Elephas maximus indicus: one gene and its partners. The protein of the gene in region 1 interacts with the protein of each later gene in a pairwise test. Links are inferred from orthologs where the notes say so. Each region holds a gene or a part of one and is shown on either strand. Other genes may lie near its edges.

What was found. The genes of interacting proteins can lie anywhere in the genome.
Region 2: the proteins of REL (region 1) and UBE2K interact in binary tests that used the Homo sapiens proteins (3 or more experiments, as listed by UniProt). The two-hybrid records come from large-scale screens. The link is inferred for Elephas maximus indicus from reciprocal best matches to the Homo sapiens genes REL and UBE2K.
Region 3: the proteins of REL (region 1) and GLYCTK interact in binary tests that used the Homo sapiens proteins (3 or more experiments, as listed by UniProt). The two-hybrid records come from large-scale screens. The link is inferred for Elephas maximus indicus from reciprocal best matches to the Homo sapiens genes REL and GLYCTK.

What each region holds. Positions count from the first base shown.
Region 1 is NC_064844.1:1,354,751-1,362,165, forward strand, and holds the start of REL (proto-oncogene c-Rel), read right to left. Parts: upstream 3,022-7,415; 5' UTR 2,684-3,021; coding exon 2,674-2,683; intron 1-2,673. UniProt on the Homo sapiens protein: Proto-oncogene that may play a role in differentiation and lymphopoiesis.
Region 2 is NC_064823.1:121,116,492-121,124,118, reverse strand, and holds the start of UBE2K (ubiquitin-conjugating enzyme E2 K), read left to right. Parts: upstream 1-4,618; 5' UTR 4,619-4,835; coding exon 4,836-4,898; intron 4,899-7,627. UniProt on the Homo sapiens protein: Accepts ubiquitin from the E1 complex and catalyzes its covalent attachment to other proteins. In vitro, in the presence or in the absence of BRCA1-BARD1 E3 ubiquitin-protein ligase complex, catalyzes the synthesis of 'Lys-48'-linked polyubiquitin chains.
Region 3 is NC_064838.1:56,510,772-56,517,595, forward strand, and holds the start of GLYCTK (glycerate kinase), read left to right. Parts: upstream 1-3,815; 5' UTR 3,816-3,875; intron 3,876-5,014; 5' UTR 5,015-5,148; intron 5,149-5,605; exon of another isoform or gene 5,606-5,784; intron 5,785-6,330; 5' UTR 6,331-6,369; coding exon 6,370-6,746; intron 6,747-6,824.

The sequences.
Region 1 (7,415 bases):
GCCCAGCAGTTTTCAAACAACTGGATTACATTTTAAAATAACATATTTTAAATAGTCCTATTTTAATCTAACTCGTGAGAAAATGTTAAAAAAAAAAAAAAAAGTAAGATAATCACTTTTCAACTTCCAAACCTCCAAAACTTTAAAAGTTTCCTCCCTCCAGTTTAGGGAATTCTTAGTCCTCATAACAGCAGAAGATATAATGTCATTAAACAAATTTAAATTCCATCACATTTTAAAATCATGTGGGTCTTAGAATGCTACTCTATAGAGAATTAATTTTTTTCTCTTGCAAGAGTTAGATCACAATATATTCATGCAGTAAATTAGTAAAGTTTGATTAAATCGACATCAGGCTGACCTTTTCCTTGTAATGCTTGTCATTCTTCACCACTTCCATAAAACATCTTTCTGATAACCAATAAATTAACCAAATATTTCAAAGTCATCTTTGTGCTTTTAATCTAAATGTGCTTTGAGTTTATGAACTTAGAACATTAACTGAAAGTTCGGGGTCACTGAAATGGGTAAAGGGAAAGTGGAGAGTTTTAAACCATATTTGTGTTCTCACAAGAAAACCACAAAGACAAACTGAAATCAAACGTCACATGAAACACCCCTATTTCCTTTTCAGCTTAGAGTAGTGGCTGCAGCACTGTTCTGCTCAACCCTTTAAAAAGATCCTTTAAGTTTTCTACTTCCTCTTCTGTTAAGTATCAGCCTGGACTTAGGGTCACGGAGCAGGGGGTTGGGAGGCGGGGTCAAGCGTAAACCAACGGGTCTCCAGTCCCCTGGCCTTGCACTGCAGACGCCCTCGCCCACCCCACAGCACCCCCCCATCCCGTTCCTGCACGGCAGACGCCCTCGCCCACCCCACAGCACCCCCCCCATCCCGTTCCTGCACGGCAGACGCCCTCGCCCACCCCACAGCACCCCCCCCATCCCGTTGCTGCACGGCAGACGCCCTCGCCCACCCCACAGACCCCCGGGCCCCGTTCCTGCACGGCAGACGCCCTCGCCCACCCCACAGCACCCCCCCATCCCGTTGCTGCACGGCAGACGCCCTCGCCCACCCCACAGACCCCTGGGCCCCGTTCCTGCACGGCAGATGCCCTCGCCCACCCCACAGCCCCCCGGACCCAGTTCCTGCACGGCAGACGCCCTCGCCCACCCCGCAGCCCCCCGGACCCCGTTCCTGCACGGCAGATGCCCTCGCCCACCCCACAGCCCCCCGGGCCCTGTTCCTGCACGGCAGACGCCCTCGCCCACCCCGCAGCCCCCCGGGCCCCGTTCCTGCACGGCAGACGCCCTCGCCCACCCCACAGCCCCCCCGATCCCGTTCCTGCACGGCAGACGCCCTCGCCCACCCCACAGCACCCCGGACCCCGTTCCTGCACGGCAGACGCCCTCGCCCACCCCACAGCCCCCCGGACCCCGTTCCTGCACTGCAGACGCCCTCGCCCACCCCACAGCCCCCCGGACCCCGTTCCTATACTGCAGACGCCCTCGCCCACCCCACAGCCCCCCGGGCCCCGTTCCTGCACTGCAGACGCCCTCGCCCACCCCACAGCCCCCCGGGCCCCGTTCCTGCACTGCAGACGCCCTCGCCCACCCCACAGCCCCACAAAGCTACCGGCAGGCGTCCACTCCCGAGAGGTGAGCCCTGCAGAAGCTGCAGGAGCTGGTCTGTCTCCAGCCGTCGCTTAAGGGCTTGGGGTCCGAACCCCCTTCCCTCCTGCCCCAGGGGAAAGCCGACCGGGAGGGGGGCACCCGGCTTCGCCCTCGGATGTGCTCTCGGGGCGCCTTTCCGCCGCGACACGGGGGTCACCTGGGGTGGAGGCACCTGGGGTGGGGTCACCTGGGTGGCAGCTCCCGGCGACACGGGGGTCACCTGGGGGTGGGGTCACCTGAGGGGCAGCTCCCGGCGACATGGGGGTCACCTGGGGTGGGGTCATCTGGGGGTCAGGTCACCTGGAGGGCAGCTCCCGGCGACACGGGGGTCACCTGGTGACACGGGGTGGGGTCACCCGAGGGGCAGCTCCCGGCTACACGGGGATCACCTGGGGGTGGGGTCACCTGGAGGTGAGGTCACCTGGGGGGCAGCTCCCTGCAACACAGGGGTCACCTGGGGTGGGGTCACCATGGGGTGGGGTCACCAGAGGGGCAGCTCCCTGCGACACAGGGGTCACCTGGGGTGGGGTCACCATGGGGTGGGGTCACCATGGGGTGGGGTCACCATGGGGTGGGGTCACCTGGTGACATGGGGGTGGGGTCACCCGAGGGGCAGCTCCCGGCGACACGGGGTCACCCCGCTGCTGCTCTGAGGCAGGAGCCACCATTTCACCACGAATCCCCCCGAGAACCCCCGTCTCCCTTCCGACCACCGCCGCCCCGATCCCAACACCAAGCCGCCGGCAACTCCTAAGGTTCCAGCTGCAACAATGGGACCCAACTACCGAGCGAGCTTGTCACTTCGCACGCAAATCCTCAAGCAAGTCACTTTTCAAAGGGCGGACGGTTTGCCGGCTGACGCGATTTTAAAGACTGAACGCGCCGCGGCCAAAGCCCGGCAGACCGAGAGCCCCCGAAACCCGGGTAGCAGCCCCGGGGCGACCTTTGCCCCCGACCCTGCCGCGGGGACCTCGGCCCTCGCTCCCCCCCGGGAACACTCACCGGAGGCCATGGTTCCGCTCACCGCGCCGCCCCGCAGGCAGCTCCAAGCGTCCGGGCCGGACGGCGCCGCGGCCAGGGAGCGCGTCAGTCAGTCAGCCGGTCGCGGCCCTCTGCCGCCGGGACCCCAGTTTCCCTGGCCACTCCCGGGCCCTCCTCCTCCTTCCCGCCCTCCTCGGCTCTGCGGCTCACACCTTCCCACCTCCTTAGCTCTCGCGCTCCGGTCAGCCGGCGTCGCCCGTCCAGGGTGCCGGAGCGCGGTGGGAGCCGAGCGCCCGCCCGCGGAGAGGCAGGCAGCCCGGCGGGAGGGGGATTTCCCGCCGCTGACGTAGGCCGCTCGCCACCGCGTCCTCCGGGGGCGGGGGGCGGGGCCTCCGGCGGCCCGCGCGCGTCCGCACGCCCCTGCGCCCCGTGCGCGCGCCCGCCCCCGCGCATGCGCCCCCGAAGGGCTGCGGGCCGGGGGAGCCGGGAGCGCAGGATCCTGGGGAGCGCAGGGGACGCCGGGAGGCGGAGGGGCCGGCCGCGCGCCGAGGCCGCGGGCCGCCGAGAAATCCCCCTCCTCCGGGTTGTTCTGCCGAGCGTGGTTTAAAGTTCACAGGCGGGTGGGAGGGAGCGGTGACGTCGGGAGGCCGGCCTGCCGGGGCGCTCGGGGCGGGCCGGCGGCTCGGGGGAGGTGGGCCTGGGGTTTTCGATCGGTGCTTCCCCCTTTTCCCGCTTTCGTACATGCAAATGGCCGCCCCCGGCCGGCGGTGAGGCGGCGCGTCCTGAGGCGCCGCTGAGGGGTGCGGCCGCGGCCGGCGCCTCTGTTCTCCGTGCGGGATCTTCGTTTGCGTGGGGCTCCCCCGCAGTGTGGCTTCCCCCTCTGTCTTTAAGCTGCGAGGGCACCGAGTTGACTTTACGAGTTTTACCCACGAAAACCTTTCGAGTCAGAGTCCTGCGCCGCGATTTCGTGCTCTGGGGAGCAGTTGCCCCGTCGTTACGTGTGGAAGTTGAGCGAAAAACGAGTCGCCGTTGGGTGGACCCCATATCCTGGGATTTAACGGAGAGGCCCAGCAGGAAGGGGAGATGGAAAACCATTCGGAGTTGAAGGAATCCAGTATAGCTTTGTGTCCCGCATTTGCTGAGAGCCTCCTCCGGGCCAGATAGTTTATCTCACCTGTGAAGTAGTAGTATCCTGGTTTTAGAGATGAGGTGCGGGGTTCAGAGAGTTAAGTAACTTGTCCAAAGGCCAGAATGCTGCTAGAAGGAAAAAGAATTTATACCTAAGGTAGTCTGAATCCAAACCTTCATGTTCTTTCCACGCTCTCCCCCCCCTTTTTTTTTTTAATTTTAAATTGTGTTTTAGGTGAAAGTGTACAGTGCAGATTAGTTTTCATTCAAAAAATTTATACGCCAGTTGTTTGGTGATGTTAATTGCAGTCCCCACAATGTGTCAGTACTCCCCCTCTTTCCACTCTGGGCTCTCCATGTCCATTCATCCAGTGTTCTGTTCCTTCCTGCCTTCTCCTCTTTGCTTTTGGGTAGGTGTTGCCCGTTTGGTCTCTATACTTGACTGAACTAAGAAACACATTCCTCACATGTGTTATTTGTTTTATAGGCCTGAAAGGTGGACTTCAGGAGTGGCTTCAGTTCTGAGTTAGTCCTCTCTCTCTTATTGCCTCAAATGTATGGAGTTGGAATAGAGAGTATCAGCCTAGAGTAAGTGTTCTAAATGGGAGGACCCTATTTGGAAAATTAAAACCTGCCAACCCCAGTATCCTCCTACAAAATAGAGAAGACTGTAGCACTTTTACTACTGAGTAAATATTAAATCACACTGTGACATGCATCATAGGCAATCTGCTGAAGAGACTGCAAAGACAAAAAGGTTTCACCCTTCTGTATAGCCAGACAGATAAAATCCATTACATACCTGTTAATTGTCTTATCCTAAATATTAAATCACACTGTGACGTACATCATAGGCAATCTGCTAAAGAGACTGCAAAGACAAAAAAAAACTTCACCCTTCTATATAGCCAGACAAATACAATCCATTACATACCTGTTAATTGTCTTATCCAAAAGGGGGAAAAAAAAGCAAACAAAACTTTTTCTATCGTTTCAGCAATAGGGAGTTACATCTTGGAGCCAACCCCTTTGGCTTAAACTCCTACAGAGACAGGAAGACTTGGTGCTATCCTCCTTTATGTTCCTATTTCAAAGAAATGCCTTCAAGGCCACCAAGAAAGACCTTCTTTGGATCAGAACTGGCCAAGAGGATTAAAAGGATTCACGTATTTCTCAAAGAGTTAGAGAAAGCATTTACAAATCAAATTTTCTAAAGAAGAGGGGGGCGAGGGGAAGGTCTCTGTTTTTTTTGGCACCAGGGAAGTTTTTTAATTAAAAGTTTTTCTTAGATTTTATTTATCCTCATAATCCCAAATGTCAGAGCTGTAAGGGCAGACTGAGCACAGATGTTTAAGAATCGATTAGAAGGGTGAGAGACAGATAGGAATGGAAAATACTTTGTGTTTTTTCATATTCCACCTGCAGGAATTGATTGGTTTTAGGTGTTCCTTGAACTTAATGGTATTGTTGGTTCCATAGATTCAGTAGTGACGGAGAAATTGATGATGATTGAGAGAAAGGGGGTTAATTACTTGAATGAGGAAGAGAGACAAGATGAAATCCAGGGCACAGGTGAAGGGCCACCAATTGGAATGGAGACTTTTCTTCTGTGGGTAAAAGAAGGAAGACAGAGTGGGTGGTTACAGATGCACAGAGCCCAGTATACTTGGTGGTACCAAGACGGGGTACTCAGTCAGATTGCCTTAAAAAAAAAATGAAGTATAAGGTGAAGGGCAGAAACTGAAAACATGGTCTCTGAGAGTGAAGTTTTAGAAGGTATACCTGGCTGTATTGAATCCCCATTTGAGATTTGTGGTCATAAATATCAGACCAGTCAGTTGTTAGGTGCTGTTGAGTCGGTTCTGACTCTTAGCGACCCTGTGCACAACAGAAGGAAACACTCCCCGATCCTGAGCCATCCTTAAAATCGTTGTTATGCTTGAGCTTATTGTTACAGCCACTGTGTCAATCCACCTCATTGAGGGTCTTCCTCTTTTCTGCTTACTCTGTACTTTGCCAAGCATGATGTCCTCCTCCAGGGACTGATCCCTGCTGACAACACGCCCGAAGTATGGAAGACGCAGTCTCACCATTGTTCTAAAGAGCATTCTGGTTGTACTTCTTCCGAGACAGATTTGTTTGTTCTTGTGGCAGCCCATGGTATATTCAATATTCTTTGCCAACACCACAATTCAAAGGCATCAATTCTTTGGATTTCCTTATTCATTGTCCAGCTTTCACATGCATAGGAGGCAATTGAAAACACCATGGCTTGGGTCAGGCGCACCTTAGTGTTTAAGGTCACATTTTTGCTTTTGAACCCTTTAAAGAAGTCCTTTGCAGAAGACCAGTCAGTACAATATTTCTTACATAGCCCAAGGAATAGCAATGAGCAATACTGTCTTGAAAAAGAAGACAAAAAGGTAGGAAAAGTTAGGTTGGATGGGAGGGAATATGTATAATACCTAAGCGTCTGAACCCGCACCTGTTCCCTAGGTGATCTCATCCATTCTCCTGATTTTACCCATGGACCCAGGACCATATATCCAGCCTGAACCTCTCCTTGGGCTTCAAACCCTTATATCCAGTTGTCTGCTAGACACATTCACTAGAAGTCCCGTAGGCATCCCAGCCTCAGCCTACCCAACATCTTCTCTCCTAAAGCTGCTCTTCCTCTCGTGTTTTCTGGGCTCAGAAACATAGGCTAAAACTTTGGAGCCGTCTCTGCCTCCTTTCGTTCTCACCACCCTCTCACCTACCCCATGATTTTACCAGTCAAAGAGGAACCCGTTCGCTCTCACTACTGTCACTGCCCTTGTTCAAATCATTCCTACCCCCATGACATCCAGTCACCAAATCCTGCTGATTTTCCCAGTCAAATAGGAAGCCATTCCTGTTGTCTCGTGACTGCCACTGCCCTTGTTCAAATCATCATACCCCACCTGAACTATTAGAATACTCACCTATTAACGTCTGTCTACATTTTTGCCCCCCCCCACAAAACCATTCAGACCTATTGTTGCTTGAGTCATCTGTATGAGCGCACTTCTGACCATATCACTCTCGTGCTTTAAAACCATCAGCAGCATCCCGATCCAAATACCAACAGCTTGCTTTAATGAGATGGAAAAACTAGACATTAACTTTATATGGAGAGGAAAGAGGCCCTGGAGCAATAAAGCATTATTGAGGAGGAACTACAAAGTAGGAGGCCTCGTACTGCCTGACCTCAGAACCTACTATACAGCTGTGGTAGTCAAAATAGCCTGGTACTGGTACAATGACAGACACATTGACCAAAGAACAGAATTGAGAACCCAGATGTAAATCCATCTACCTATAGTCACCTGATCTTTCACAAAGGCCCAAAGTCCATTAAATGGGGGAAAAGACAGTCTTTTTAACAAATGTACTGGCAAAACTGGATGTCCATCTGTGAAAAAAAAAAATGAAACAGGACTCATATCTCACATCATACACAAAAGCTAATTCAAAATGGGCCAAAGACATAAAACCAAAAACTATGAAGATGATAAAAAGAAAAATAGGGTCAGTGCCAGGGGCCCTAATATACATCATAAATGGAATACAAACCATAACTGACAATATACAAACACTGGAAGATAAGCTAGGTA
Region 2 (7,627 bases), on another chromosome or scaffold:
TTAGGACTGAGTATTTTTTTAAAAAAGAGTTAAATGAGAGGCGTGGGTAGAATAGGCAACAGTGAGGGAAGCAGAGAGAGGAAAAATATATCAAAAAGTTGGCAAAACCCAAGGTCAGGAAAGGGTTGTAGCGAAAAAAGAATTTCTTTGCATTTGGAAGAGCAGGAAATTTGAATCTGAAGAGCAGTAATAGGAGCTTAGCAGGGTCTACGAAAAGGAGATTTGAACACTTCAAATGTTAGTAATTATTATCAAGGGTTAGCAAAGCACTAGTATGCCTTGCCATATTTACTTGAATCAACACATCAAAACTTTTAGGAACAACCAGATTAACTTTCCTCCATTTGACCTAAAATCATTTTTATAGCCTTGACACATATCATGTTTACGTAAATTACATATTCTGAAAGCCTGTGACTTCTTAGATCCAAGCCTAGTGTCTGAGCAGTACAGTATACTCAAATGTACTCAGGACCCCTTTGTACTCTGAAAAATTATTGAGGATTCCAAAGAGCTTTTGTTTACATGGCTTATATCTATCAATATTTATTGCATTAAAAATAAAAACTGAGAAATGTAATTTATTAATTTTATTATAATAGAATTATAATAAATCCATTACATATTCACATAAATAATATTAAAAAATAACTGTTTTCCAAAACAAAACCTCTTTAAGGACTGGCTTACTAGCATACTGATGGATTCTCCTATCTGCTTCTGCTTTCAATATATTGCAGTATGTTTGGTTGAAGTATAAGAAGAAAACCTAACCTTACACAGATATTTAGGTGGATAAGGGAAGAATATTTTAATAGCTTTTTCAGATAATTGTGGATATTCTTCTTTAATATTACACCCAAACTAGACAAATGGCAGTTTCATAAAGGTTAGTTGCAATGTGGAATCTGAAATGTTGTCCGTGTGTACTCTATTACATTAAAATTCATTGGTCTGTCTTGAACCTTGGGATCTTTTTTACCCATGCATGATTTTGTAACACCATGCATTGATCATTTAGAAAATATTGCTTCACTGTCTTGTACAGAGCTTCCAAATGTTGACACATCCCATTGTATAACAGCAAACAATCACATCTGTTAATATCACCATCAATATCATCAGCCATATCTTTAAGTATTGGGAAGTTCATGGTGGCAGACATGTTTTCCAAAATTCTGTCACTTGAAAGCTTGAATTTTATCATGGACGACACATACTGTCAGGTGTTTTTCTTGAAGCGACAGGCTCACCTCACTGATTTTTGAGAAAATGTCTGCTAAATACCCAAGTTGTAATAAACATACTTTGCCTGAGTCATTATGTCACGTAAAAATAAAACCTGTTGCTGTCTATTTGATTCCGACTCATAGCGACCCTATAGGACAGAGTAGAACTGCCCCACAGAGTTTCCAAGGACGCGTGGTGGATTTGAACTGCCGACCTTCTGGTTAACAGCTGTAACTCTTAACCACTACGGTACCAGGGTTTCCAAGTAAAAACAGTGTTTCATAAAAAAAAAAAATGGCTAGTTCAGCTCGTAACTCAGCAAATTGCCCAAGTGTCTTACCTTGTACTTTGTTACAATGCAGACATTCTGTACGTATACTTCCCATTTTGTTGCACAGAATATTAAGAAGATATTTACTCAAATGTTGAGATTTAATAACATTTACTGCTTCCCCAAAGACATTCTAAAGTGAAACTGGCTTTTTTTTTTTTTTAACCATGGGTATGTGACATTGAAGAATTACCACTAATATAGAAATTTTACAGCTGTTTTGCCCACCACTGCTTTTGCATCATCACTGCACATGTCAGTACAGTGAAAAGGCAAATAATGTTTTAGTACAGTTTTGACAATAGTTTTGGCATGGCAGACCCCCTGAAAACATCTCAGGGACCCTCAGGGGTCTGCAGACTTTGAGATTAATTTTATTTCCCCCACCCCCACTAGAATGTAAATTTCACAAAGGCAGGGTTTTTCTTTTTTTCTTGTTCACAGATATTTCTTCAGGGTCTAGATCACACCTGGCACATAGGAGACACTCACTAAATTTTTGTTTAATTAATTAATTAGTAAATGAAGTAATCAATCAGACCTAGGTAGTAGTAAAAAGCTTATGATCTGTATTACTGGAAACACTTTTTTAAAAAGTTACTTCATTGAATAGGTAAAATATACAACAGTGCACATGGTGAAAAGTCTCCTACCTTGTCTTCTCCAAGGTGCTTAAATTCCTTTCTCGGAGATAACCACTGTTGTCAGTTTTTTACGTATCTTTCCATCAATACTGTATGGATTCACGAACATCAAATACACAAGTTATTCCTTTCCCCTCTCACACATAAGATGGCGTACTATACACAATATGGACTTCCCGGTGCCTCTTTTAAACATAAATTTTTTATTTAGTAATAATTTTAGATTTACTGAAAAGTTTTAAAGAAGTGTACAGAGATTCCTGTATACATTTTACCCAGCTTCCTCTAATGTTAACATGGTACACAACAATGGTACCATGTCAAAACTAAGAAATCAACATTGGAACAATACTATTAACTAAATTATAGACTTTATTCAGCTTTCACCAGTTTTTCCATTAATTTTTTTTGGTTCTAGGATCCAATCCAGGATATCTCATTGCATTTGGCACGGTGCTTTTTTCACTTAAAATGTATCTTGAATATTGTCTCATATTAGTTAATATGTAGCTGCCTCATTCTCTGGAAGGACTGTAAAATGAATCCCTAGAAGTGGAACTGCAGAGTCAATGATTATGTGCATTTAAAAATTACTAAGTTCCCTTCCCCCAAGGAAATTACTATACCCTTCTAACTGGTTTCTCTGTGATTTGAATATACCAAGTTTCTTTGAAGTTCCAACATTGGGATTGGCAACTGAATGAGGGATATAAAAGTAAAGTATTCAAAATTTTTGCACACTTCAAAGTGATATTTTTTAGTTCTGGCACAAACACACATAGCACTGCATGATTTACGTTATTATTGTACTGTGACCCACTTATATATTTGGTTTCTTTCAAGACCACTAGGGGGCTCTGCTGGAAGAGTTTTGTAATTTATGCCAGTCCACCTAGGAAAATGATGTCCTGAGATGATGTTTTGAACACTTATTTTACTTGAAAGAGATCATCTTAATCCACCTTCCATGTTTTGCAGATGAGGAAAACGAGGTTGACCATGATCTTACAGCCAGGCATGAGGAGAGCTGGAATAAAACAACCTCCTCTTGGTTCCTGGGGCAGGAATTCAAGAAATTCCCTTAACACCTTAACTAAATGATTCACCTCTAGTCGTGATTTCTTTTTCTGCTCCCACATTTTTAATAACTTTTGCAATATTTTCATAACAGGGTACTTTACTAATTGGTTAGGTGAAGGAAGTGCATGAAATATAAACTTTTAAATAACACCTTTTATCACTTATTCCAAAATGTCATATTCAAAATACCTCTCAGCATCAAAAGTATATTATTAACTATAATCCCTAGCAACCCCTTTTAAATTGCCTTTCGAACTTCCTTTCCACTAAAAACATTTTACTGTTATCTTTATTCATTCATTCAGTCAATATTTATTGAGTGCCAATTAATGCCAGATCAGTTGCAGGCTTTAGGCTTATAGAAGTAAAAGCCCTCCTTTCCATCCCTTCAGGAGCTATTATTTCTCCAATTTCCACTTTATTTTTGGCATGCCTTAGTTCAGTGATTCTCAGTTTGGTCCCTGAACCAGCAGCATCAACATCATCTGGGAGTTTTTTAAAAATGCAAATTATCAGGCTCGCCCTGTACTCCAGGGACGAGGGCCAGCGATCTGTGTTTTAACGATCTCTCCAAGCTCCAAGGGATTTTGACGCATGCTTAAGTTTGAAAACCATCTTTTCAGTTCCACAGCTCGGTATTAATTATCTAAATAGATCAAAGATCAGTATCTGTTGATGTATTTTCTGCTGTGTATATTCTCAACAACAACAAAAAGTAAAATAAGTAAAAAAAAAAAAAAAATCGACATCTGACGTCTAAGCTTACCTCAGGCCTCTCCATGGAGTATCCGTCTCAAATACACCTAATGGAACCAGCAAGGACGATACTTAAAGCAATGATTTCTAGTTCCGATGGGAATATTAGAGGCACTTTATGGTGTCCCTGTTTTCAGAACAACAACGGACCGCAGTGCATTTTCTGGGGCCTTACCAACTGAAAATGGGCCGGACTGAATTCTAGGATAGTGTTTTCGTACACTAGACATAGTCGGGCACAGTAAGCCTGTGGGTTGGGGCTCTAGTCTGGGTCAGGCTGAGTAAGGGCGTGGGTCCAGGTCGAGTAGAGAGAACCGCGTGGGTCCTGCCGGGTTGGGTTCGAGCCTTCGGCCAGAGGCCAGGAACTGAAAGCCACGACCACACCATTCTGATTCGCAGCGCGGCGGAGTCGCAGGGACTCGGAAAAGCCGAGTGTGCGTCAGGCAGCGCGGAAACCGCACCCGCCCGGCCCAGACTCCGACGGGGCGGAGTCAGGCGACCGCAGCTCCAGCGGAGAGACGCGCGGCGCCGCGGCTGAGGCTACACCCGGAGCGGCTGCGCCGCCCGGCCGGGTCAGCATCGTGCGCATGCGCGGACCCGGCGCCATTTTGGTGGCCGGGCGCGGAGGTGATTCCACACTGAGGAGAGCGCGGCGGCTGAGGTGGCAGTGGCAGCGTTCCTGTGCTCGGGTCTGAATCGCCGGAGGAGGAGGCAGTGGAGGAAGAGGTGGCGGCGGTGGCGTTGGTCGTAGCGGTGGCGGAGGAGGCGGGTACGAATCAGCTGCGGGCGGAGACATGGCCAACATCGCGGTGCAGCGAATCAAGCGGGAGTTCAAGGAAGTGCTGAAGAGCGAGGAGGTCAGAAATGAACTCCCGGCCATCCCCCACCTCAGCCCAGGGTGGGAGGGCCCTTCCAGCGGCCACCCCGATATCCCCTGTAACCCCTGGGTGGCCCGCCCCGCGGCCGCCCTACTGCCTGTGGGGAAGCAGTAGCTTTCCCCTCCTTCCGCCGCCTTCCTCTCCCCTCTCAGGGCCCAAGGATGGACGGTCTTCCCTGCGGGAGGTCTGGGGACGAACACGTTTTGGGGAGCAGGTTAGAGAAGAGGTGCGCTTCTCAGAGGGGTGTGAGCCGTGGAGAGACCCCCGAGGCGGTAGCAGCAGCTGGAAGTGTGGCTGCGGGTGGGGAGGGTGCAGGCCGAGCCTGAGAAAACCCGGGAAGTGGCATGGGGGAAGGGAAAAGGTGGTAACTGGATCCGAGGGAGCTGTGCTGCTCGTAGGCCCACACTTTTAAGGGTATTCTGGGTTATCGCCTGTCAGGCCTTCAGCGCCCTTTCCTTAGGGAAGGAGCGATGAGAGCTCCTAGGTATTGATGAAAGGAGAAAGACAGGCATTCAGAGTTACTCCCTCTTAGTTGGGTGTTCGAAGAGAAGGGGAGATACAATGACATTATTTAAGTAGGGAATATAAGGGAATTTCACCTGAGATAGGAAATTAACTCCAAATTATATCACCTCACTTAGACCCCCAATTTCTGGACCCTTTATTTATTGGCATCTAAAGGTTTCTGACTGGGTAAATGCCAGTTGTTTGGTGTATTAAAGGTATTTAAATATTTTTAGCCAGGAACAAATAGTAGGGGGTATGAACAGCTTATTTCAAAATATTGTTTACAAGTTACAGGTCAGTCTCTTCTAAGACAATGCTGTCTGTTGACTCTGTTGTGTTGTACCATGAAACTTCATTATGATGTCCCTCATAGTTAACCTGAATCTTACTTTTGAAAAATAGCCCTATTAAAAACATGAGATTTCAAAAACAGGAACAAAACAAGAAAACCCATGAGATTTCATCAGATTAATATGTTGTTGTATCTCTTTATTAAGGTGAGTAGAAGGTTTATCCTGACATGTATCTAAAGTGATTAAAAAATAATTTATCTCAAGCTGTGCTTGAGACCTATGGAGTTTTAGATACTTTCATGCTGCACACAATTATTTATATAAGAGATTGAAAACATTATAGTAATTTGACTCAAAACTATGCCAGTATCAGTTTTTCATACCAAATTAACAAGAATAGCAAGTTGTTTTCCCCACGTGGATTTAACAGAGGAAGATCAAAAAGTAATACTGAAAATGATTTTTTTCTTAATGTCACATCCCATTGTTGAGTATATTGTTGCTGTTTGTTTTTTTTTCTCTCATTGTCTTATGTTCGTACTTTGATAATGTCAACAACGATTTGTGAAATTCAGCATTCTAAGTATGTGATGAGTAATTGACTTAAGTCTGATATCACCTGGGATTTCTTTGTGTTTACTGGGTCTGTGATAAAAAAAAAAATAGTCATGTATTTTTCCAGGTACACATGGAGAAAATTATTTAAAATTATTCAAAAATGACAAATGCCAGCAGATTTAATGAACGTAGGTAGTATATATTTTTTTAGTACATAAGTAATGATCTGCCTTAAAGAGCATGTGTGTGAACTCTAACCCCTATATTTGTTCAAGTGCCAAAACTCTGAATGGAAGGATGACTTTGTATTTTTATGGTACAGTTTGGAAATAGAGTCATAAATGTCTACTGATACACAGTGAAACAATGATTCTGACTTTTTATTTTATAAAATGTATTCCAGAATAGTTGACATACATTAATGAAAAATTGCAGCTAATATTGTTGCCAGCAGCCTAAAACGTACTTTTTTATAAGATTGTACAAATTTGAAGCTTCTAATGCCTTATTTTCCATTACATAAAAGTGGTAAGGTTTACTGCTCTAGTAATTCATGTTGGTTGGTCACTTTGTATGAGGTGACTTTTCACCATGATATTCTTAGTACTTAGGTTGCCAGAAATACTTGTATTGCTCTACTAATGCATACTTTTAAAATAGTACTTCTCTTTTATATGTAAGGGATGATGAAGCCTTGCTTCAAATAAGTGTCATAGTGTTTCAGAGGAAGAAAACAGGAAATGCAGACAGACAAAGGAGTTTTTTTTTTTTTTTGAGAATAGTACCCTTGCAAATCTGAAAGGATACTTCTTCCAGGAAAGTTAGTTGCAAAGAACATTTAGGGAAGGGTCAGAAGATTTAATCTTGTAATAAATATAACCAATAAATAGCTTTATTTTTACTGGCATTTTTATGTTGATTATTATCAACTCGTCAAAGGACTTGTATAATCCATGTATTACTTCCTTTTTACTTTGTGAGTCAATGTAGTATTTTCAGTAGCTGGTGAAGTAGTCAAGTATTTATCAAGTCATTTTATGCAGATCTGCAGTTTACCAAAGTTTATTTCATGTGCTCGTTTACTAAGAGTATTGGTTAATATAAGATTTTTTTTGGAGGGGAGGCTTTTAAGTGACTTTAAAGATAATTGATGTTTGCTGAATTCTGGTCATAAGAGGTTATAAACAGCTATTCTTAGAGTGTGTTTTTAGTTTAAATACAACCTCAAAGATAAACCTAAAAAGCAAGATGCAGAATAGTGTGTAGGAGGCCACCATTTATGTCAAAAGGGAGAAATATGTGTATTTGCTTATACAAGTGAAAGAATTCATGAGAAATTGGTAACATTGG
Region 3 (6,824 bases), on another chromosome or scaffold:
GCATTTCTCAAGCTGAAAGAACTGAAGAAAAAATTCAAGCCTTCAGTTGCAATACTGCAGAACTCTGTGGGCAAAATATTGGACAATGCAGGAAGCATCAAAAGAGGACGGAAGGAATACACAGAGTCACTGCTCCAAAAAGAACTGGTCAACATTCAGCCATTTCAGGAAGTAGCATATGATCAAGAACCAATGGTAAGGAAGGAAGGGTACAAGCTGCATTGGTGAAAAATAAGCCTTCAGGAATTGATGGAATACCAATTGAGAAGTTTCAACAAATGGATGCAATGCTGGAGGTGCTCACTCATCTATGCCAAGAAATTTTTAAGACAGCTACCTGGCCAACTGACTGAAGAGATCCATATTTGTGCCCATTCCAAAGAAAGGTGATCCAACAGAATGTGGAAATTATCAAACAATTTTAATCATTAATATCACAAGCAAGTAAAATTTTGCTGAATATAATTCAAAAGCAGTTGCAGCAGTACCTTGAAAGAGAACTACCAGAAATTCAAGCCAGGTTCAGAAGAGGAAGTGGAATGAGGAACATCACTGCTGATGTCAGATGGATCTTGCTGAAAGCAGAGAATACCAGAAAGATGTTTACCTGTGTTTTATTGACTATGCAAAGGCATTTGAATGTGTGGATCATAACAATTATGGATAACATTGTAAAGAATGAGAATTCCACGCCACGTACTTAATTGTGCTCATGAAGAACCTGTACATAGACCAAGAGGCAGTCTTTCAGACAGAACGAAGGGATACTGCGTGGTTTAAAATCAGAAAAAGTGTGCATCAGGGTTGTATCCTTTCACCATACTTATTCAATCTGTATGTTGAGCAAATAATCTGAGAGGCTGGACTACATAAAAAAGAACTTGGTATCAGGATTGGAAGAAGACTCATTAACAACCTGCAATATGCAGATGACCCAACCTTGCTTGCCAAAAGTGAAGGGGACTTGAAGCACTTACTGATGAAGATCAAAGACTATAGCCTTCAGTATGGATTACGCCTCAACATAAATAAAACAAATATCCTCACAACTGGAACAATAAGCAACGCCATGCTAAACAGAGAAAATATTGAAGCCGTCAAGGATTTCATTTTACTTGGATCCATGATCAATGGCCACGGAAGCCGCAGTCAAGAAATCAAAGGACATATTGCACTGGGCAAATCTGCTGCCAAAGAGGGAATCCCTGGTGGTGTAGTGGTTAAGAGCTATGATTGCTAACCAAAAGGTCAGCAGTTTGAATCCATCAGGCACTCCTTGGAAACTCTATGGGGCAGTTCTATTCTGTCCTATAGGGTCGCTATGAGTTGGAATCGACTCGACAGCAACGGGTTTGGTTTTGTTTTTTTGGCTGCCAAACGTCTCTTTAAAATGTTAAAAAGCAAAGATGTCACTTTGAGGACTAAGGCTTGGCTGACCCAAGCAATGGTATTTTCGATCGCCTCATATGCGTATGAAAAGCTGAAGGATAAATAAGGAAGACAGAGGAAGAATTGATGCCTTTTAATTATGATATTGTTGAAGAGTATTGAATATGCCATGTACTGACAGAAAAACAAACAAATCTTTCTTAGAAGTACAACCAGAACGCTCCTTAGAAGCAAGGATAGCGAGACTTCATCTCATGTATTTGGACATGTTATCAGGAGAGCCCTTGGAGAAGGACATCATGCTTGGCAGAGGGTCAGCAAAAGAGAGGGAGACTCTCCACAAAATGCATTGACACAGTGGCTGCAACAATGAGCTCAAGCATAACAACGACTGCTAGGATGGTGCAGGACTGGGCAGTGTTTCGTTCTATTGTACGTGGGGTTGCTATGAGTTGCAACCGACTTGATTGCACCTAACAACAACAATAACAAACTAGTGTCTTGGGGTCTTACGTGTGTGCTATCTCATAAGTAAGTTTATGCCTGACAAACCTGAGCATTTCTCTACTTATTTTAAAATAAAATCCCCATGAGGTATCATGTCCATTATCAAGATAATGTGTAAGCATTCTGGTAAGCCAAATCGTTGCCTCAGGTCTAAATTCCACTGCTTCATGATGCCCTCTGCTTCCACCTACCCCCATCTCTTTTTCTTCTGTGAAATACTTTCTACCTAGCAGCAGGGTCTACAGTACTTTTCAGCTGAGCACTTTGCTGCCCTCCTGTTAATTACAAAAAAAGAAAAACAATCCAGGTTCTATTTTTGTCTGATCATGTGCAGGGCAATAGAAATACAAATACAAATTAGACCAATTCACCCCCTTCCAGGAGCTCACAGTCCAGTGGTCATTTAAATCTTGCTGTTGTCAAAGGCATCTTGTGAGTAGCTGTGGGGATGGGGGTGGCAGAATAAAAAATGGGTGCAATTAGTATCCTGTTTATAGTCTGAGAAAATAGCACTGGCACAGTAGATGCTATTTGTTTATGAACGTTTCTGGCACTAAATACTGAGAGAGGTGCTCACTATCTCCACTCCCACCAGCAGTGTGGGTATGTAATCACAAAAGCAAAATTTCCCAAGTAAATGTACCAGTTCTTATTCATCCCAGCATCTACTGCATTTGGCCCACATAGAAGCCACCCAAGAAATGTCTTTTGAATGATGGAAGAATTAACAATTGGATGGATGACGACAGATTGTTATAAGCAAGGAAAAACCATGAAATTTCAAATAGCTATAATCTCCTCCATCTCTAAAAAAGGTTGGTAGATCCTCCTGAAGGTGCCTTTGTTTTGCTGAGGAGGGAAGGCATTTGGGAGAGACTGGTAGGGAAAGAAAAACTCAGAGAGCAAGTTCATGACAAGGGCATGGTTTGGAGACCTATGAGATGTGGCAGCTGTGGACAGAAGCAGGATGAGGAGAAAGACGTTTCAAGGAGATTTTCAGGAAGTCTGTTGTGTAACTCCCTCCTCCACCTCTCCAAGAAAAGTCAGTAAAAACATACAGTGTACTCATCTGTGTTTCTGGAGTCTGGTAGGGACTTGTCTTTTGACTATGGGAAGGCATAAAGCCCGGCTCAGGGCGGACACAGGGGGAAAGCAAGGACAGCTAGGGGGGCCCAAGCTCATTCGTGTTCACAGAGTTTGCGGTAGGTTCGAGGATCAAGTAACAGAACTCTCTTGCTGAGACAGAGCTGTCTGTGATGGCCCGTGGGGGTAGCAATGAGTTGTAGGATTATAACGGTAGGGAAGGGCAGCGATGACTTTGCAAGAAGGGGTGTGATCCTCAGTCCGTTTGCTCAGCCCAGTGCCTGGCACCTAACAGGAGCTCAGGACGTATTTACTGACTGATTGGATTGTACAGGATAAAGCAGGGGACAGATTATAGCAATTTGGGGAGGTGGGAGTTATTACTCCCATCGTAAAGATGAAGAAAGGAGCCCTGGTGGCGCAAGGTTAAGCACTGGGCTGCTAACCAAAAGGTTAGCGGTTTGAACCCACCCAGCAGATCTGTGGGCGAAAAGATCCGGCGATCTGCTCCTAGAAAACCCTGTGGTGGTAGTTCGGCTCTGTCACGTGAAGTCGCTATGAAATCAACCCAACCGCGCCCAACGACAACAGAAATGGAGAAACCGAGGCCTGAAGGTGACACCACCCAGGTCTTACAGCGGGTCTGGGGCGGAGATGCCCCAACTCCCGCTCCTGAGTCTGCTCCATCAGGACCCAAGTGCAGGGCCTGGCGTGGCAGCGCCGACTCAGGTACACAACCCCGAACGTTTTCTGACTTCCTGGCGCCCAGTCGGGTCGAAGCGCACACTGGCAACGCCCCAACCCGCCTTCATACCCTCACTTCCGGGTTCCGCTCCGTCCGCCCACGGGTACTTCCGGTTCCTGCGTTAGGTGACGCGGCGTGGAGCCGTGGGGCGGTGAGTCCGCGTCGCGAGGGCCCGCGTGGCTCCCGGAAGCGCGCCCTCGTCAGGGCGACGCCTGGTCGGGGTGGCAGTGGGCCGTTATCCTTCGGGTCATCACCGACCGTTCCCCACAACCATTTCCCTCGGAGGTCGGCGCTCTCAGCTCGTGGGTGACGTCACTTCCGGGGGGCGGATTCGGGCAGGTGCAGGCCGGCCAGCCCCACCTAGTGGCCGGGAGGAGTCAAGGCGGGTTTTCTCATTTCAGGGTTTCGTGATGGAGAGTCCAGGAGTTTAGGAAAGACCGTATAGGGCACTGGATCGACAGATTTAGCAAATAAAAATACAGGACGTCTAGTTAAATTTGAATTTAATATGAGCAACGAGTAATTTTAGTGTAACTATGTCCCAGTTGGAAACCCTGGTGGCGTAGCGGTTAAGAGCTATGGCTGCTAACCAAAAGGTCAGCGATCAGTTCAAATCCACCAGGTGCTCCTTGGAAACTCTATAGGGCAGTTCTATTCTGTCCTATAGGGTCGCTATGAGTCGGAATCGACTCGACAGCAGTGGGATAATGGGATGTCCCAGTTATTGCATGGGACAACATAACCAAAAAACCAAACCCATTGCAGTGGATGGAGTCTGTTGTGACTCATGACGACTTCATGTGTTTATAGAGCAGAACTGCTCCACAGGGTTTTCTTGTAATTTTTAAGGAACCAGATAGCTAGGCCTTTCTCCCACAGCACCGCAGGGTGCATTTGAACTGTCAACCTTTAGGTCAGTAGTCAAGTGCAAACTGTGCCACCCAGGAACCAGCTTATAAACTTACACTAAGAAATTACTCGTTTTTTTTTTTTTACTGTAAAAAAATAACTCATTTATTTGAAATTCACATTTAACTTGGCGTCCTGTGTTTTATTTGGCAACCCTAGGCCTTAGTCCCGACCCCCACCCCACCCCCCACCTTGTTACTGGATACTTTGCTCTGGTAGTAGCAAGGCTGGAAACTTGCCCACTCCCTCAAAACCAAGTGTTGCTAGATATTAAAACTGCTTTAGTACCATGTATAATGGGCGAGCCCCAGTGGTCCCCCAGCAAAAGCTGGATCCCATTTTTAGCACTCCCATGGCCATGCCTTCTGTTCCCTTTCACAGAGAAGGCTGAAGACCATGCAGCCTAAGTGGCCCAGGGCCGGACGCTGCCAGGTTACTTGGGTGTGAGATGAACTGACGTTTGGGTTCCAGATTTTCTGTGCAGAGCCCTAGGCTGTCAGGGGGAGAGGAGCACAGTAAGTAGTCTTAATCTCATCCTACCTCTCGTTTTGCAGGTGAGGCTCAGCCACTCAGGACAGCTGTGGTAGAGCTGGAATCCTGACCCCAGCCTCCTTCCCCTGCTCAGTCCACACTTGCTGATACAGTCAGTATGCAGCATTTATGGGAGGCATTTATTAAAGTAGATGCCTTTTTACGGATGAGCTCTTTGGGGGTTCATTGTCCCTAAACCCTTCTGCAGTCTCCTGACCTTCACCTTAGGGCTTCTTTAGCTTTTCCCCTGCCCAGTGGGGAAAATGGCTGTCTGGGCTCAAATGTGGTAGTCTGGCCTTTGCTGGCTCCAGCCACTGGGCCCTTACGGTAGTGGGTGGTGTGACCCAGGACTTGTTTTGTTATTTCAGAGCCAAAGGGGATGTTCTTGGCAGGGGTGGGTCTGGCCAGCTATGTGGGTAAAAGGGCGTCCTTCCCTATCCTGCATGGCATGGTTTCTCGTGGTGCCTTGGGACTTCGTAAGGTTCCACCCTGAGCCAGATTTTGCTGTCATTCCTGATTTGAGCTGGAACTCTTGCTGGACTGGCCCTGAGTGCTGGGATTCCTAAGGCCGCACACTCTGAGGGTGTAATTTGGGCCTGACCTGGCCTGGTGGTGCCCTGGTGAGCCTGCAGCCTCCCCACAGATACCCAGCCTTCCCAGGAACCCCAACCCAGTCCCCTGAGCTAATGAAATACAGCAGGCTAGAGGTCACTGGGCCTAAGATCAGTTGGGGGGACAACCAGTAGCTTTCCGGCAGCAGTGCCAGAAAGGGGTATTGCTGAGTGAGGGCTCAGAAGGGCAGGGGGTGGGAAAGGGGCGAGACAGGAGCCCACAGACAGGAATCTGTGGATGATTAACTCAGCCACAGGGCCAACCCAGGAAGAGGGCTCAGCTAACAGGACCTTCGGACTCGGGCAGAGCTCCCAGAGGGGAGCATGTGGTCTACAGAAGAGGAGGACATGGCTGGGTGGCAGGGCTGGGCTCTGAGGCCCAGAGTGAGATCAGGCAGCTATGGGCTTCAGGAAGTCTCCTTGGGCTGGCAGATGGCCTATGCCTGCAGCAGCAGCTATGGGGTCCACCAGTCCTGAGCCTTCAGAGAGTGGGTGTGGGGGGGCCTCCTGTCTCTGGTCCTGCAACAGCCCTGACTGGTCTTTTCTTCCCCTTAGGCAGCTATGGGCGCCAGGCGGTGCTGAGAGCAGTGGGGCATGGCTGCAACCCTGCAGGTCATACCCCGCCTGGCCCGAGCCCCCTTGTGCCCACTCCCCTGGTGGGGCCCAGTGGCCCGGCTGGCCAGCGGCATGGCCCTACCGGAGCAGGCGCAGCAACTGTTTGAGAGTGCTGTTGGTGCTGTACTGCCGGGCCCCATGCTACACCGGGTCCTGACCTTGGACCCTACCGGCAGGCAGTTGAAGGTGCGGGACCGGAGCTTTCAGCTGCGGCACAACCTCTACCTCGTGGGCTTTGGCAAGGCTGTGCTGGGCATGGCGGCTGCCACCGAGGAGCTCCTGGGCCAGCATCTCGTGCAGGGTGTGATCAGTGTTCCCAAGGGGATCCGAGCTGCCATGGAGCATGCTGACAAGCAGTAAGGAGTCGCAGGGGGCTGCTCCCCACTACCCATCTGGGGGAAACCTGGCCCCAGACCCAGGCTGGATCAGGGCTT